Linked DNA regions of Drosophila melanogaster. The gene in region 2 interacts genetically with the main gene of each other region. Each region holds a gene or a part of one and is shown on either strand. Other genes may lie near its edges.

What was found.
Region 1: of Myc (region 2) and Gcn5, changing one suppresses a phenotype caused by changing the other (phenotypic suppression), as found in Drosophila melanogaster (2 studies listed by BioGRID).
Region 3: of Myc (region 2) and Ilp5, changing one suppresses a phenotype caused by changing the other (phenotypic suppression), as found in Drosophila melanogaster (one study listed by BioGRID).
Region 4: of Myc (region 2) and nclb, changing one suppresses a phenotype caused by changing the other (phenotypic suppression), as found in Drosophila melanogaster (one study listed by BioGRID).

The regions. Positions count from the first base shown.
Region 1 is NT_037436.4:12,520,436-12,526,004, forward strand, and holds Gcn5 (Gcn5 acetyltransferase), read right to left. Parts: upstream 3,580-5,569; 5' UTR 3,469-3,579; coding exon 2,210-3,468; intron 2,156-2,209; coding exon 1,503-2,155; intron 1,441-1,502; coding exon 911-1,440; 3' UTR 694-910; downstream 1-693. Other genes in the region: ver (verrocchio), read left to right, coding at 4,006-4,650; eIF2beta (eukaryotic translation initiation factor 2 subunit beta), read right to left, coding at 4,719-5,242, 5,551-5,569.
Region 2 is NC_004354.4:3,371,278-3,376,464, reverse strand, and holds the start of Myc (Myc), read right to left. Parts: upstream 3,307-5,187; 5' UTR 2,742-3,306; intron 1,526-2,741; exon of another isoform or gene 1,522-1,525; 5' UTR 1,460-1,521; coding exon 232-1,459; intron 1-231. UniProt on the Drosophila melanogaster protein: Participates in the regulation of gene transcription. Binds DNA in a non-specific manner, yet also specifically recognizes the core sequence CAC[GA]TG. Seems to activate the transcription of growth-related genes; required for cellular proliferation and growth.
Region 3 is NT_037436.4:9,822,426-9,825,851, forward strand, and holds Ilp5 (Insulin-like peptide 5), read right to left. Parts: upstream 1,473-3,426; 5' UTR 1,449-1,472; coding exon 1,286-1,448; intron 1,215-1,285; coding exon 1,051-1,214; 3' UTR 924-1,050; downstream 1-923. Other genes in the region: CG43897 (uncharacterized protein), read left to right, coding at 2,121-2,215, 2,378-3,426.
Region 4 is NT_033778.4:10,873,386-10,877,900, reverse strand, and holds nclb (no child left behind), read right to left. Parts: upstream 2,154-4,515; 5' UTR 2,065-2,153; coding exon 685-2,064; 3' UTR 605-684; downstream 1-604. Other genes in the region: Taf5 (TBP-associated factor 5), read left to right, coding at 1-410; CG30016 (uncharacterized protein), read left to right, coding at 2,530-2,562, 2,618-2,926. UniProt on the Drosophila melanogaster protein: Chromatin-associated factor that regulates transcription. Regulates Pol I-mediated rRNA biogenesis and, probably, Pol III-mediated transcription. Regulates the localization to the nucleolus of Cdk7, a regulator of the Pol I-elongation factor TFIIH.

The DNA.
Region 1 (5,569 bases), on a different chromosome or scaffold from region 2:
CCAGTCCAGTTTGGCCAGTTAACACGCTGGCAGAGAGAAGAGGGATGAGGATGAGGATGAGCTGGCGGAGTCACCACAAACATTTCAATATTATGTAATCATAAATTATGTATCTAATTGTATGTAATATGTATATCTCCATATATGCTCACTCTGATTAGCTCCACATATGTATGTTTGTATATAAATACGCAATTATCGAGTTGAACACTGAAAAGAAAGCACGTTTCGCAAGTAATGGCTAAATTGTAAAGACTACCACGTATGGAAATTAAAAACTAAATATACCATGTAATAAAGGATAATTGAATTCAAGCAGTAAGCAACTACGGTTAACATTTTCATTGTACCATCGGCATATCCACGATATCCTTTGCCATTTCCGGTGCAGCCTTGGAAAGGATGAAACGCAGATGTGGAGCCACGTATTTATGTATGCATGAGCCTTTGTACAATGTCCTAGAGATTCGATTAAACTCCCGCCCCTAAGATATAATTTTATAACTGAAATTATTTACTAAACCAAAATAAAAACAAATGAGAAGAACTCTAACTTTAAAAGCATGCGAAACAATGAATGTAGGAAATCAAAAGTGAAATAAAGAGTTAAGACAAAAACGTAGTGGTTACACATCATTTGACCAGCATTGGTTTTGTCCACTGGATGAAGGGAGAGTGGGTGGATTCGTGGTTAATGAGTAGGCGATAGATCTGATTTATTCTTCCCAAAGACACAACGCGTCTGTGAACAAGACGGACACACTGAGCTTAACCTAAGTATCTATAACGACAAACTAACTATATGGGTTTTTCTTTAGCTGGGGAGAATTCTAAAAATAAATAGAATTAATATAATAATTTAGTTCGATTAAATGTTCGGCCTTATGCAGGGCTCCTCGGAATCACTGCATCATTTGTCCCACAGCCCCAGCTCGCGCATCTTGGTCTGGAAGTAGCGCTCCAGGGAGTTGGCACACCGATAATACTCGGTGTCGGGCGAATTGTAGAACCGACAGTTGGAGAAAATGCGCGCCATGTCCGCCATGAACAGGCGGCGCGTTTGGTAGTAACCCTTCTTCAGGCGCTCGCCCATGGTCTTCAGGTCCATGGGATATTTAATGTGATCGTAGTAGTCCGGAACTTCGGCCGCGGTCACCGGGCGCAGGAAGGGCCAGGCGGTGGTGTGCTGGCGCACGGATTGCAGCACGGATGCAAAGGACGTGGCCAGCTTCTCCGGATCGGTGGATTCCTCGAGGGGTCGCGATGAGCGCGCCGGACGATTTTGCGGCTTCCAACCGATCTCCCGCAGACCAGGAATCGATTCCACGGGAATCACGGGCAGGCCCTCCTTGAAGCAAGTCAAGCCGGGTCTTACTTTCTGCACCTCGTTGTGGCGCTGTGCGATCAGCTCCTTCAGAATCTCGCTCTGACTGCGAATTACTGAAAGGAAGAATTGGAGTGTAAAATGGGACCATGGATTCCTTGTCCATTCTTTGACTAACCAGCTATGAACTGCGTGTTCACAATGCTTGGATGCAGCTCGCAGTGCATGAGAGTAGCACTATCGTACTCCTTGATGTAGCCCGCATAAACTGGTCGCGCCAATTTGATGTCCTTGGAGAAACCCTGCTTCTTGAAGTACCCGATGGCATCGCAATCGGCGAATGTGAGCAGATGCTTGATACCCCTCTGTATGCTGTAGTCCTTCAAGTGGTTCATCAAGTGCGTGCCATAGCCCTTAACTTGTTCCGACATGGTGACCGCGCAGAAAACGATCTCGGTGAAGCCTTGCGACGGAAACGGGCGGAAACAGATGCCGCCGATGGGTTGGTTTTCCTTGATGAGCGCCAGTGTTTTGTGCTTGGTGTCGAAAACCAACTGGCTGATGTACTCGCGCGGCATCTCGGGTAGCTGATAGGCAAATACGAGCTGCAGGCCCAGTAGCCACAAAACAGTCTGCTTGTCCACCGGTTTGGTCAGCGAATTGCCCACCACATGGAACTCAATGGCTCGCTTCTGCTCCTCCGCCTTGACGTTCTCATCCCGCGACACATTAACCGGAAAGAGAATTTCCGCTTTGTTGGTGGTCTTCGACTCGGACACCGATTTCATGGCGCGCATTACTACATCCGCAGGCAGGTCATCCAAATTCTCACTGCGGCAGGACGATTAGTAAATGTATTGAAAGAAGAAAAAACTGATTACCAACCTGCTTGGACGATCGGTGGGCTCCTTTTTGATTCGCTTGTGGAGCGGTTCACCCACACTGGTCCTCTTGTTTCCACCAATGCTTGCTGCACTGGGACCAATGGGTACATTTGCCACCTCCTGGTTACGCTTTCTCTGCTGGATGACAAAGGAATTTGACGGGCGGTAGCTGGTATCCCAGATGGGCGAATCATCCTTGAGCAATTCGGCGCGAAGCGTTTCCAAAAACTTCGGCATCAGCGTGATGATCGAACGCTTGTCCTCGGGAAAGCGATCCCGCTCGGAGATGCACTTCTTTTTCAGCTGCTGCGACATGCACTGGAAAACGGTGCGCAGGAGCGTTCGTCCAAACACTAGGGACGTTTCACATTGGCGCAGGGAGTTACAGAAGGCGGGCACGTGGCAGAACACCAACCACCTGGTGTAGTTGATTTTGTAGTTAGAGGCATCCTCGTGGGTGAGATCTCCTCTCCTGGTCGACGGCGATTCAAAGTTGTAGTGGTTCAGAAAGTTCAAGAACGTCTTGGCCACCTCGGTCATGGTTTGGAGTTCAGGCGTGCTCAGGTGATTGTACTTGTAGAAGACCAACGAGAGCACAGCCTTGGTGATGCACGGCGTCTCGAATGGTGGATCGCCGAGAGGACCCCGGATGACCGCCTGCTGGCGCGTGAGGACGCACTGGCGCAGCAAACGGAAGAGGTACTGGTACACCTTCTTGGTGTCCTCGTCCTCGACGCGCTGCATGGACATGAATAGGTTCTCCATGTCTATAATGGCGCCCAGTAGCTCGTTCATGCTGGAACTGGATATATTGTCCAGATGGGCTATGTGCGATCTCAGCGAATGGCGACAGCTGGTGTTGCGGCACTCCTCGTTGAACTCCGGACAGTAGGAGGACTCGACGTCACGGTGGCGATTTTCCTGCGGTGTCTTCCAGCCGGTGCAACGGCATCCCTCAGACTGGCAGGCGGAATACATCGACAATTTGGCCAGTTTCTGTGGCACGGGCAGATTGAAGACCTTTTGCTTTCGCTGCTGAATGCGCTGTAGGCTGTTCTGGCGCGTTCCCTCTGCCGGCACACTGCCAGCGCCGGACGCAGCTCCTCCGTGTCCTGGATTCTGGGCGCTGCCAGCGGCTCCAGATGCACCAGCGGTTGCTGCGCCATTCGCTGCCTGCTGCTGCTGTTGCGCCGCAGCGTTGCCCGTGTTGTTACCATCGATTGGTTGGCTTTTTATCGTTATGGATGGACCACCAGACATTCCAAGATCGGCAGATATTGCGATTCTCTTCGTTAGTTTTGAACAAAGTGTACTTTTCCTTAAATTTCACAAGCGATACAACGAGTTTGCCCACTTGCTGTGCGCAATGATGGTGCTGCCAACCTGGCGTTTTGTGCAAATGAATTTCTCTCGGTGGTGAAATAATGGTTGAATATATATATTCTATTAACGATTTTACGTTTGTCCATATAGTGTATACTCGTATTATCTGGTGACAATGTTTTTAGACTTTGAATTTAATAAGTAAAAATTAGCAGGGGCGTAGTCAAAACAACTGAAAATTTGTAAGGGGGTTAAAAAGAAAATATTGCGCGGTTCTGCAAATTAATGTGACCCTGGTTTTAACTTATAATACAATTGTGTGAAAATTGCTCACAAAATTAATTTTAATTAATATTATTTGTAAGAAAATACGAAGTCTACGCCCATGCTCACAACTGTTTTTTTTTTTGGCGCTAATGCAAAATGCACTGCAATAAAGAAATCCCCTTTGAAATCGCAGACTAAGCAAATAGAATGGATTTTAATCAGAGTTTCGAGGACATAGAAAGCCAGCTGGATAACTTCGTGATACGCAAGAATCAACAGAGTGAAAAGTCCACGGGCAAATGTGGTCCGGAGGTCCACGACAACGTGCCGCTGACCATATCCCAGATTGAGCGCGCAACTCAGGATCCGGAGAACGAGAATGTGTTCATCACAGACGACGTGCATCCGATTCACTTCTGCACCTGCATCATCTACGCCTTTGTAACTGGCAATGGAACGCACAACGAGTCGTTCATGAAGTTCATGATCGATGATGGCACCGGCTCCCTGGAGGCCAGCATCACCAAAAAACCCTTCAATGGACGCGTGATCAGCAGCCTGTACAGTGAAGCCAGTTCGCTGGCCTCGTCCGAGGCCTACAAGAGCATTGCCGTGAGCATGATGCGGCTGCTGCAGGTCTCCATGGAGTACATTGATCCCACGCGCATCTCGAGGGGCCACAGCCTATTCCTGCGCGGTCGTCCGAATAGGTTCCGCGGCAAGATGGGTCTGGACGCTTTTCAGTTCTTCATAGACAGCGGCCGATCGCGGAATATGGAAATTGGCTTCGTAGACTACCTAACCGACTGGCAACGAAGGCATAAAACAATGCAGAATACAACAAATAAATAGTATCGTTGGTTTTTTGTATTGAAATTTTACTGGTAATAAAAATTCAAAAAGTTTTAAATAAGGAGAATTTAGGTTGTTTTTGCTCGTATGGCGGCACGTTTGCCGGTGACAGCCTGGAAACCTGACTTAATGCTGGCCACCGAGCAGCGGGAGCCACAGGATTCGCACTGCAGGAAGAAGAGACGCGTGTCCTTCTGCAATATCGTTTCCGGGGAGCGGCAGGTGTGACAGGTGACGTACTCCTTGATGTAGCGACGCAGCACATTCTCGATCTGTTTGGGCTGGAAACGGCCCTTGATGATCAGCTGCTGGTTGCCGTCCATGGAGCCACTGGTACCCAACTCGGCCAGCAGGAAATCGAGCAGATGCTTGGGCAGGCGATGCAGCGTTTTCGCAATGTCCATGAAGTTGGCAAAGGAGGTCTTCTTGGTTCCCACGCGCAGCACCTGCGGCGGTCGCATCACGAACTTTGGCTTTCGGCCGGCGGCCATGTCCGGATTCTTGTCGAGAATGATTTCGAAGACCCGCTTCAGCAACTCGTCGTATGTGTAATCGCGGTCGGAGCCAAACCAGGTTGAGCTGTTGTCCTCGTCTGTAAACGGATGAAAACGTTATTTAAAAGGGTATGGTATAAGCTTATTTGCTAAGTGAGAGCTTTGAAATCTGGAGTCTATTTAAAGTTGGAACAGCTACATGCTAACTCACTGGCTAAGCATTTCTAGTTCACTTCATACACTGAGTTTTAATGCTTCGGAAAAGGCGAAAGCCAAGTTATACACTTTAAGAATCGTATAGCTTTGCCTTTGTCAAGTGACAACAAGCTTATATGGCTGCCAATCTTGGTTGGGATGATTCTATAACCCTAAGCTTCCCTGGCTGCTCTGCAATTCGTCACCGTACCGTTCTCTTTGTCTTCGCT
Region 2 (5,187 bases):
TAATCGGCCGCCCCACGACGTTGTAATTAGTATGCCACTTTTGGTAGGCGTTTTAGACTGACTCAGGCGTAAACTAAATTTTAATGCATCCCCAGGGATCTAACTAATCTCTACTGTTTTGCCATGCATCCAACGACCAGACCATTTTGTATTTCTTGTAAGACATTCGGACTTTAAGCTTCCAATATTGATGAAAATGGGGCATATGAAAAGTATATAAATTTGACTCACCGGAATCTGAGGGGGTCTCCAAATTGGGACCATCGTCCACCATATCGTTGCAGCGCGTGTAGCTGTGATCGGTGATGTGCATCATGTGCAGCATGCCGTTGCTGTTGTTCTTCAATTTGTTGTTTTTGTTGTTGCTGTTGTTGTTGTTGGTGGTGATGCTGGCATTGCTGCCGCTTTTGCTAGTGCGATGATGGCGCAGGTCAAAGTTGAGGGGTTCACCGTCATCGGAGTCACTATCAGAGCCGGTCGTCGGCGGAGAATCCACTGTGTTGCGTCCAGTGGCTATATCGATGGCCTGTTGTTGCTCGTCCAGTTGCTGTTGGTTCAACTGCTGTTGGCCACCCGTCGAATTGGAATGCTGGTTGAGCACATCGAGGACATCGTTGATCGGCGGGATGTAACGCACCGGCAACGGATCCTTGCCGGTATTCTGAAGCTCCCTGCTGATTTGCTTAATGTAGTTGACATCGCTATCATTGCCGGTCAGCGAGATATTATTGCTGCCCATCACGCAGGCACGCAAGTCGACGTTATGTCTAAACTCTGAGGCGGCCACCTCGTCGGTAAGACTGTGAGGTGTGTCTGGTCTCTGGTATTTTATGCTATCGCTGCCGCTCAATTCGCCCGATTTGCGGATAATGTCCTGGTTGTTCCGCTTGCGGAGCAAACTTCCGCCGGGCGGTATTAAATGGACCTCGTCCTGGATCTGTGACTTCTTGTCACCGCCGCTCAAACGGAGGCGCTTCTGACAGACCGTGTAGTCCAGATCTGCGAGCTCCTTCTTGATGATCACCGGCATGTTCTCGGCACTGTTGACGACATGCTGTTGATTTGACTGGGTGTTATCTGTCGTCTGCGATCGTTGATACGCGCTGTAGAGATTCGTAGAGCCGGAAACCATCGCCAGGGATACGGCACCGGTTTCGCTGTACGACGAGGCTGCACTGTTTCCGCTCTCTATTCCATTACCGTTACCGCTGGTCAAACAGCTGGACATCGCCGGCCACATGCAGTCGATGTTGCGGATCTCTGGCTTCATATCCTCCTCTAAGTCATAGTCTTGAAATACACTTTCCATGTCCTCGATCTTCTCGAGATCACTCTGAATGGTGGACGACGAAAGGAGTTTGTCCATATCGTACAGATCATTATCCATATCGAATATTGAAATATTTGAAAAAAGTTGGTCGTCCATTATGGAATACGGATCAGAGCGGTAAAGGGCCATTGCGATTATGTTGTCTGGGTTTTTTTTTCTTTCTATATATCTTAAGTTCCTGAGTTATATGCCTGTCTGAAAAATATAGATAAGGCGGAAATCGTTGTAGGTATGATTCTATATTTGAACTTAATTAAATAAATATGTCGGCAACACACTTTTTGAAAACTTCTTCAACATAAGGATTTTTGCAACATTTCAACTATAATGTAAGAGTAACTAAACTCCTAATATTATTATTGTATTAAGTCACGTTCTACTGTGCCAGATTTCACCTATAATGACGTCAGGCGATGTCGAGGGTTCAGCAAATGTTATCAAAAGCAAATTTAGCTTATAGCTTCATTTATACACTATTAACCATTTGAACCCGAAATCGTCAATCTTGGCGCTCTTGACAATAGCAAAAAAAAAAAAAAAATACATATACTAATGAAATAAACAAGGGCATAAAAGGAAAACCAAATATCAAATACCCAATTCCAGTTACTGAAAAATAAACGGTCCTTTTACCGATAAACGCAGACCTGCAAAGCTTACTGTGCTTTTCCCTTTTCGTAGAATCCGTTGCATTCCGGTAAACAAGTACGAGCAAAAACTAACAGTACATGTCTTTCGCAGAATCGAACGCAACCCGGTATATATTGAATTTCAGAATCATAGTAAAATTGGAATATCAACATTTATTAAATTATTATTTAAATCTTTTTAAATTTATTAAGCTAATTTATTTCTTTTTTAATTTATCAAGCTAATTTATTTCTTTTTTAATTTATCAAGCTAATTTATTTCTTTTTTTAATTAATTGATTTATTTCTCCTTTAAAAAGTTTAATACTTTCGTAAAAATTTTGGGACCATTTTATTTAATTACTTTGGAGCCCCAGAGTTCTGGAATTTTCGAACATTACCAACTCGTTTCAACGCCATCAAAGCGTTTTTAATACTTGCCAGCATTAAGAAGAATTTCACAAAACAATAAAGAACTTTGTAGAATTTTGTTTTGCAAAATTCGTCCACTTCCACTTTTCTATTGTCTCACTTTTTGTTCTTAATTTCTTGTAAGCACTTGATTCTTAACATTCCTTCTGAGTTCCTAGAATCCGTTATTTCGTATCGATTTGTGCGGCCATGATCACTGATTTGTCATTGTGTGTGAGAGCACCGTTAAAAGTTAAGCTATTTCACCTTTCCCAGAAATTCTATTTTGAATTCCCCGTAGTGGCGCGATTTTTGAAGTCGTTGCGTTCCGATAAATAATATATATTATATATATATATCTTTGCACTCACCTCGCTGAACATAGTTTCCGTATCCGTCTCTATTTAATTGATTGTAATCCAATTTAGTTAGCTTCCTTTGCTTTCCAGTCGCTTTCGGCTATATCTATTTCTATCCCGTTCCCGTGCCGCCAGCAAGTTGGGCACTTTTTTTTTTGCGTCAAAGAAGGGGAAAGACGGAGAAAAAACACCAAAAAAAGGGACACAAAAAAAAATTCTTCCCGTTTATTTTGCACTAGCTGATTTTTTTTAAAAAATCTTTTTTTAATTCTAGTTTTTCACAAGTTTTTGTTTCTGCTTTGGAGAAGATTTTTTTTTATGTATTTGCGCGGTTTTAAGTCGGCTCTTAGGTTATTTCTGGGATTTAGCACTTTTGTAACTTGGCTGTGACAGTTGTTAGTAGTAGTTGTATATTTTAAAACGTGTTGCTTCAGGTTTTACTACAGAACTATTTATATAGCGTTTGGTTTTTTTTTTTTGTATCGGGCGGAAAACAGGCAAAAATCCAATCCACAAAGCGATTCTCTGAATTACCCGCGGTGAACTGAACACGCGACGCCACAGAAATAGTGCCCGTTTCATGTTGTCTGTGGCTTAAATAAAATTTCTATCGTACCAGACTGCCGCGCTCTCTGCGCTCTCACTGCGCATGCTCACTGCTGCTCTCTTTGCTGGAATTCGCTTTAAGTGGTGAGAATAGGAGCTTCAACAAAAATCTTCTTTGACATTTGGATCACATTTAGATCACATTTGGATTCATCACGATTTGTTAATACTCGAAGGTTTTCAAATAGTACGCAATGCATTTAAAATGATCAATGTTTCTTTGCCTCTCCCGCACACTGGTTCACATAACAGCATCAGTTTGCCGGTATTTTTTTTTTGAGTGAAAGAGAGTGAGATTTTTGAGTGGTGTTTACAATAATTGAGCGCAAACAAAATTGAGACAAATCGCAAATTGCTCCGTAAATAAAAACATAAACAATTAACTTGAACTGGCTCAAAATGTTTTTGTGAAATAAATGCAATACGAAAATGTGTAGTTGACTGGAAATCAAAACAAAATTTTATTCATTTCCTTAATTTACTTACGGTATGTATATTAAAATATAGAAATTAAATTTATAAATATACGCATTTATTTATGTTAATGTTAATCGACATAAAACTACAGGTTTCAATTGCTTTTCTGTGGCATTATTTGGGATTCTTCATTGCCGCATAAATGTTTCCTATTTTTAAATCGATTTATTTTAAGCTCTATTCCTTTTTGCGTAGAAGTTGCGAGAAGTTGTTCATTCCCTCTTGCTTTGGCGCCTTACATTTCTTTCGTATTTCCTTCTTGCCCTTTCCTTTATCTATGCATGCATTTACCGTACTTTTTTTTATGTGCGTGTGTGCCTTTGTCACCTCTTTGTCTGCCACGCAACTTCATTTTCCGTTTTGTCAAGTTGATTGAACTTGTGAACTTTGTAAACAATGCAGAATTCATTTAACAATAATAGAAAAGTTAGGCCGCATGGTAGAAACAAAAGAAGAGCCAAACATTTTGTTAACGAATTAAACGATGCCAAGGAAATGTAAAAAGAAAGGGAAAAGAATAGAAACCAGCCAAAAATATTACAACTTTGGAAAGAAGAAGTTGTGGAAGAAGTAGAAAAGGGTAATAAGGTAAAGGCGGATAGGAAGCAAGGGGACCTTGAATGAAAAATAGAATATAACATGCACAAGCATACGTCTCTACATACATACATACATATGTATGTATGCACATTCCAACAAACTTCTTAATAACTGTTTGTAAAATACAATGTACATAGTATGTGTACTACATACAAATAATGATTTGTGCATGTGTACATATGTTTATCGCACAAATATGTACATATGTACACATATATCAACCTTTAAAAATCGACTTGAAAGGACCTGCATTTTGAATTTTGCCCCTTTTAGAGAGTATTAAATCATCAGGTGGTTCCGACGCAAAGTTCCTCCCGCTTTCTACACCCCGTCGATTTTGTTACGTTTCGCTTTGATTTTCATTTCCACAACTTTTAGTGCACAACATAGCGCTTTTGGCGCGTGCATCTGCCCTCTCTTTCACACGCTTTGTTTTGATTTCGCAACGAGGCGAACCAGCAAAAAAAAAATGCACGCTGCACACTCGCCCAACTACTCTGCAATTTGCACATTTAATTAATTGTTTGTACAAGCGACATATTAAAAAAAAAAAAAAATTGTTTAATTCTTCTGTCAATGGAAATCACAAACAGCCCAATAAAATTCACCTTCCAACATTCCGCTTTAGTATCCATAAGCATACAAACAGCCATTCGTTGGCAAAAAGCGATATGCTCCACTTTTACAGGGTACAACTGCGTCACAGACAAAAAGAAATGGTCCCGCAATTTGCGAGCTTTTGTCCGTCCAAGTTCTCGATTTCAATAAGTAATAT
Region 3 (3,426 bases), on a different chromosome or scaffold from region 2:
AAGCGGCAGGCGTCTAGCCAAAAAAGTAGTGAGGCATCTCTTGACTTTCTGCCCATCGGTGAATCACAGTGAAATCGGAAAATTAACCAATCAAATTTCGAACAGAAAATAATTAAAACGCTGTGCTGTTAATTAAGCAAACGCCACTAAGTGGATATCTGGGCAAATATTTGAGCAAATCTCTATTAAAATTCAATGAATTGAATGTCTATCTATCTATCTATTTGTCTTTATTTTTGAGCCAAAATGGGCCTGCGGCGAATGAGGTTGTCACAATGTTTACACTTCCTTCAAATTAATCAACTAATTAAAGTTGAGGCCGACAGATGTGAGTGATTTTTTGCCAAATGTTCCCAGCTAAAAGGTCAATGTCGGATCTAATGAGGAATGGCTGACGTTCGTCTTAAATTGCCGAAAAAGCTTAAAGCTTGGCGATTATCTCTGGACTTTGTCGTCCATAAATTCTTTAAGGTCTTATCTCAGCAGGCACATTTTCTTAGCTTAAATATTTCTGTTTGTTATCTCGTTTTGTTGAGGCAAAACATTTCGTCCCAGATTAAGATGATGCGTTGAAAGCAAAACATTTCAAGCAAATTATAATTAAAGTTGAAAACTCTTTTTGCCAGCTTAAAGAAAATCGCCAGGCAAGCGAAAGGCATAGTTTTGTTTGTGTGCAAAATTTCCACCCAACTTGCTGCGATTTAAATCAAAATTTGATTTTCCTTCCGCTCAAAGGAGCATATTTTCGTATGGAAAAAAATAAACATTGTTATAATAGAATTTGGATATATCAAAGTGTGTTTAAAATTGTTCATATTGTTCTTTTGCTAACCATTTAGTGTATCTGTTCACTTTTAAAGGCTAAAATTATTATCGAAATATTTATAATATTTAATGTTTGAAGAAATTAAAAAGCGATGTTTCGAATTGCGCTTATTTATTGTAGTTTCAAGTTTCAAAGCCGTGCATATAGTTTATACTTAATACTTTTACGTAACATGTCTCATATATGTATGTATGTAAACTGATGGACCAGGTATCGCAGCATTTTTAGGAGTCGCAGTATGCCCTCAACGTGGAAAAGGAACACGATTTGCGGCAACAGGAGTCGACAACGCCGCGAAAATCGCGCCGAATGCTCGACAGTGAGTTCATGTGGTGAGATTCGGAGCTATCCAAATCCGCCAAGTGGTCCTCATAATCGAATAGGCCCACTGCAAGTAAAATAAGTGAGTTCGTGCCGTTTGGAAACCCCAAACCCCAAAAAAACGCAGCCGATACTCACAGGTGCCTCGTTTGGCGAACATTGAATTGAATCCATTGGGACAGGCAACCCTCAGCATGTCCATCAAGGCGGGGCCACAAGCCCGCAGCGAGTTTGCGGCCTGGGCGGATAGCAGGAGCGGGATCAGGAACAGGAGAACTGGGATCACGGAGCGGAACATCATTGCCTTGCTGGAACTGCTGCTGGATAGGATGTGGTGCAGTTTCCGCCGCTGTCAGCCATTTTTATATCCGCCGGCGCACTTTCACCTGTCAGATTGGATTAGTCTTTTGGGGTCAGCGTGGGCAGGAGCGTACTTGCTAATTTTCAATGTCAGGACATCGCAGGGTGCTATCATTAATTTATGCCCATGGATTAGCGTAACTTTCGCTTAATCGGATGCACCAAGGGGGTGGCGGAATCTATATATAATAGCTGAAATCAAAATGTATAACGATATATATGGTCTTTAGTTAGAAGGGCTTTCATTTTCAATATGTTTAATTGGCTTATCGTGCAAATAGTGCATACGATCATAAGTTTGTATTTCATGAAATATTTAAGTAATGTACTTATTGTATATCTAAGAAAGTAAAGTCGTATATTACATTTTTGCCTGTTCACATGTATAATTCTATAACATATACCAAAAGAACGCATGACAATCGAATACATGCCTGCGAGGAGAGCATATTTAAAAATAAATTTAAATTTGGCGCTAACTGCTTGCAAGCAGTCGAAGCAGTGCGCCAAACACACAAGCAGTATATACCGCGAAATTTAAAATTTTACCTCATACAATATACGATGTGCATTGATTCTTACTAATTGTATTGTATTTTTACGTTATTTTTAGGATTGAAGTCGACGATCAAATAACGAAGCCCCTGAACTTGGCCAACTCGGCCGTTCTGCGCGCCGTCGAAGAGGAAGAACAACAAGCCAAATGTGGTAAGATATACCTCTCTTTTTTGGATATTTGTCTATGCGCGTTTATTTTATGTTGCCTAGACAAAAAGAAACAGTGTAGAAACATACAACAAAACAGCAAACTCCAGTCCCAGTGCTCGTCCAATATTAGTGTTTTTTACAGATAAATTTAAATAAATTCAGGGGACTTCCCCCACAAAGATTTTTACCCCACTGAAAGGCAGAGTCGCCCGCGTCAACGAGGCGAGGTGGATGCACTGCATCACACGCTGCACCAGCAGCTTCTGAACCAGATCAAAACAGACTATCTCAGTCATCAGCAGGACATCACTATCGATCGGGACACGGTGCTGAAAATCAACCGTCTGGCCACCAAGAGGCATCTGCTCAAACGGGATCACAGCTGGCCTCCAGCTGAGCAGGATCAACCAACTATCAATCCCGAACAGAGCCATCAGATCTCCTGCAGCCCATCGCACAGTATTGAGGCTCTGAGGGAGAAGTTCCAGAGTCCCACCCTGGTTATCGAACCCACTGCCAATGAAGTGAGAGAGCAGCGACGACGCGATGGTGGCTCCAAAGAGAGATCAAAAACGCTCCAAAAGCACACCAAAGAACCTGACCTGGCGGAAGTTTTCCATCAAACTCCCATATCCAAGGGATTCTCCGCTCCAGAGACCAAGGCAGCCGATGTGGATTTGGGTTTGGTGGCTCCGCGATGTGAGTACTACGAGCAATTGGCCCACAAAAGGTCCGCCACACCAACTCTGCCCACTCAAATCACTCCATATAGGCCAAGATACAAGAGACAGGCTCATTCCCTGGATCGTAGCCGCTCCCGGAAACGTACAGTGGGTGCTCCGGAATTGCCGCCACCTAAGCCGAGAACTTCAAAGCCAAAAGTCCAACGGCGGTGCATAAAACTGGCCACTGAGGTAAAGATCTCATATGGCCACGACGGCGACAGCGAGGATGATCCCAATTCTGGTCAAGATGTGGATTTGGAGACCTTGCCGCTGCCACCGACACCGGTGTCGCCAGCTGCCGCAAATCTCAATCAAGCGAAGACAGCAGGGCGAATGGTAATTGACAACGTGGCAGTTAAACAGCAGCAGCAGATGGCTTTGGCTTTGGCCACAAATGGGAGCATCAGTCCGGTGAATCCGAGTCCAAGTCCGTTGGCCAACACTCGCATTGTGCCCATTCGCGTGGAGGCATCGGCGGACCAGCTC
Region 4 (4,515 bases), on a different chromosome or scaffold from region 2:
TACGCCTGATGACGGGCCACAAGGGATCGGTGAGTTCTCTGGCCTTCTCCGCCTGCGGCCGGTATCTGGCCTCGGGTTCAGTAGATCACAATATCATCATCTGGGATCTGTCGAACGGATCCCTGGTCACCACCCTGTTGAGGCACACTAGCACTGTGACCACGATCACCTTTAGTCGCGATGGAACAGTCCTGGCTGCAGCCGGCTTGGATAACAATCTAACTCTGTGGGACTTTCACAAGGTTACCGAAGACTATATCAGCAATCACATCACTGTGTCGCACCATCAGGATGAGAACGACGAGGACGTCTACCTCATGCGTACTTTCCCCAGCAAGAACTCGCCATTTGTCAGCCTGCACTTTACGCGCCGAAATCTCCTGATGTGCGTGGGTCTATTCAAGAGTTAGGAGCACAGATAAGCTTATTTGGTATACGTAATGTAGTGTTAAGGAATGCTCGGAATGTTTAGGATTAATGTTTTGTATTTCGTTTGTGACCCATCCCCCCTGAAATGTCGATTAGTTGTTTAAGCATAAAAGTGTAAAGTGCATATATGCGCAAGTTATCAATAAATTTTAATTAATATAAAAGTCAATCATTAAGGTTCTTATATATAATTCATATTTATTTAAAAGTCATATAAAGCATATACACAGATAAATACGTAGCTGTACGATTTGCCTACTCTGCATCAGGGATTCCAAACGTTCGGCGCACGGCTATCGAGTTCTTGATGTTAAAGATCGCACAGCGCGGAGGCTTCTCTCCGCCGAAGGCCAGGGTGTAGGGATCCTCGGGGCACTGGCGCATGCACTGCAAGCGACCCATGTTGAACTCGTGCTCGTAGACGTGCTTTGCCTCTGTGCCATCAAAGTTCCACACCTTTAGGGTGCCCTCCGTGGAGGTGGAGGTCAGCAGATTAGGCTTCTGGTTGTTGAAGCACACACCGGAGATTTCCTCGTTGTGGGCCTTTACGGACCACAGCAGTTGTCCAGGAGAACGTTTGTCGGCGTAATGCAAGGTGCCATCGTTGGTGCCCACGATGAAGTAGTCGGTCTGTGTGGGATGCCACAGGACCTTCTCCACTTCACCGTCAACTTTCCACTCAATGCTGGACGAGTTGACGCCCTCAGCGTCGCGGCAATCGAAGAGTCGCACGTATCCATCGGCACAGCCGGTAAGAATGCTTTGAGCCTCTTGCGGATGGAATTCCAGCGACTGAATCTGTTTGCCAAAAGCGGTAATGGTTGTATGAGGCTGGCCCTCGTCCATGTCCCACAGAATCACAGTTTGGTCCACGGACCCGCTGGCCAGAATGTGCTCAAAGTTGGTGTTCCAAGAGAGATCCAGCACGGCGTCCTTGTGTCCATACTGCTCTTTGTTCTGCTTCCGGCTGCCTTTGGAACCCAGCTTAAATGTGGGCTCGATAGCGTCCTGTATGTCTAGATCCCAGACTGTGATTATCGGATCCATGCAGCCGATGGCGCACATGTTGCCCGCCTTTTCGCTGCCCGCGTCGTGATTCATCCACTCGATGCACAGAGGAAAGCTTGGCAGCAGAAAGTCGTGGTGGGTGTAGAGAGCCTCCTCCTCCTGGTTGAAAACCCACACCTCCATGGAGGCGGCGTCGTCTTGAACGTGACCCACTAGAATGAGGTTGTCGCTGGGCTTGATCACCTCGTCCTCGGCCTCGGAGTCTTCGTCCTCATCGGGGATTTGCTCGCCAGCGTCCACGATGTTGGCCAGACTGGTGACATTAGCATTCGCCTCGTTGTCATACTCCTGGAATTGGAACTCGTCCTGCGGATCGCGGTTCTCACTATTGGCATCCGCGTGGTCGTCCACATCCATGTCGTTTTGGTCTTCCTCGGCATTTTCGCCCTCCTCTGCATCGTCGTCGCTCTCCTCGTCCAATTCCTGTTGCGTATCACCGATAATCCTGGCCAGCTCCGCCTGCGTCAGCACGATCTTGTCGGGACGATCCTTAGCCACGCCGCGTGGTACAAAGCAAAGAGCTGGGACAAAATCAATGCTCGGCTCCGGTGGTCCTTCCTCAGCCATTATGATTATATTTTTCAACTTAGTTTGATACACCAAACGAATTGATAAACACGTGCAGTTCAAACAAGGCAGGTTGTGTGACCAGATCCTATTAATTACGCTGTTACTAATACCAAAGACACTAGAATAATAGAATATTCTAGTGTCTTTGCTAATACTTTAAACAAATACTGAAACATACGGCATCAAACGATTTTTATATTTTTAAAAACTGTTGCAAATTTATTCGTTTATTTGGAATTAATACTTCATTAAAAAAAAGTATATATATGATCGTTCCAATTTATTTCCCCAAACAGATTTTTGGCTTACATATTATTTTGATATCCCACTTATCAGTGATTTTCATTGTTAATGCAAGATGCAATCAAAGATTAAGATAAAGAGTCCCATAAACTGGAGCTTTTGCTACCGTCTGAGATACCAGAGATATCTACGATCTTTAATCTTAAAGTTGCCCTCAAGATGGATGCACGAAAGTTTTCTACCCACATATTGGTAACTTTGTTTCAATTTATTTATATGTATAAAATTTTTCGTTAACCTTTTACAGGATACTTCGGTGGGAAAGGCGGCAGCCAATGTGAGAGTAACAGTTTCCAGGCTGGACGAGATTCAGGAATGGAGATCCCTTCGGGCGGCCCAAACTGATGCGGATGGTCGCTGCCTGCTCTTGGAACCTGGTCAATTTCCCGGCGGGATCTATAAGCTGACCTTTCACGTGGGCGCCTATTACGCGGAGCGCAATGTGAGGACACTTTATCCAGCAATTGACTTGATTGTGGATTGCAGTGAGAATCAGAACTATCACATTCCTTTGTTACTCAATCCCTTTGGGTATTCCACATATCGTGGAACATAGCTCGGTTAAAACCGAATAATGGATGTTACACAACTTACAAAAATGTAATTGATTTGAATAAAGGTTTTTTAAATGTTTATTTGTAACATCTCGGGATCGCTTTACACTTCGTGCGATGTTCGTGCATGAGTAACCGTGTCATGAAATCAACTAACCTCACGCTCCCATCCCTATTCGCCAGTGCAGTATCTTGCCATCTCTAGCCAGCATTCGGTGTCGTTTGGTTCCGCTCAGTTTGTATTTAGCGCCTGTCGCGGGAGGTTCGTGCGTTCGGTGCGTTGTCGGTGTTTGGAATTGAATGTTTTTGAAACGGCGATCGGTGGTCGAGTCGTGTGCCGGTAATTTGTATACGAAAAAAAAACATATTTGAAAATGCAAGATCGTTGGCAAGTGCTCTCTGCAAAGTGAGTGAGTGATGGATGCTTGCGTCCTTCAGTTCTTTTCTGATTCATATCCTGCACCGAGGTGCAACAGTTGTTTCGTAGTTGGATTCTGAGTGGAAACAATATTTCCATAATAATATACATATGTGTGCGTGTTTTCAAAAAGAGGCAAACAAGAAGTGGGATTTGTTATTGGAAAGTACAAACAGCGCTCCCATAGACATACACTCGATGCGGCCGAGCCAGCAAATCCCCGACAAATCTTAAACCAGTTTTAAGATACATATTCTTGGTGTCAGTGTGTGCATGTTGATTTTTTCCGGCATTGTTTTCGTTTATTTTTTTTATACTCCGCGCTGCTGCTGGCTCTGCATCTTTTTTGTGTACCCATACCCTTTGCGCCTGCCCCTAATCGCGTTTCCATTTTCTGGCCATCGTCCAGATCCGAGGTTTTGCTTTTGGGCTCCGCGTGAGCAACAAGTACCCCCGCCTAGTACCTATACCTATACCTATACCCAGACCCCTGCCATCATCTATATCTGTACCCATACCAAGTGCCTGGCCGCGTCTCGCTCCGCCTGCCATCTGAAAACCCGAAAAACTCGGAAAGAAACGAGCTTAAATTCTAACGAGATCAGCACGCCAGTTGGTAACTCTGCTCTCCCCAATTGGTCCAATTTGAATGCGGTACGAAGCACCTCCAGAATCCGGCGAAGATCGCACAAGTAATTCCGAAAGGTGAGTGGCGGTGGCTTTAGGTGATCTCATCAGGAAGCTAGGAATAATCTGTTGTTTTGGAATATTATTCAATTGGGCGAACAAACCTGTTGTTTAAGATTCACCCCACTAAGAAACCATTCTGAAGTTATGAAATCCAACTTGTTTAAGTTCACTTTTCTTCATCTTTTCCCAAATATATTACGCCGTGCGAAAATTAATAATTAATAAATAAAATTGATTAATTAACTTGTAACTTGAGTTCAAATATCATAAAAAGTATTTATTGAATTTAAATAAACTAAAAATCATCTGCCATTTATGAAATCTAATACTTTTAAGCTTTTGCTCGTTCTTCTTTAAACAAATCTTAAACAGATTAAATGTTTCATGGTTAGCTTAATATTAGTTTTTTATTATTTTAAAATGATGAAACAATGAAAGCATTCTCCGGTTTGAGCTAGATTCGAAGCTAAATTAAAATGTAGA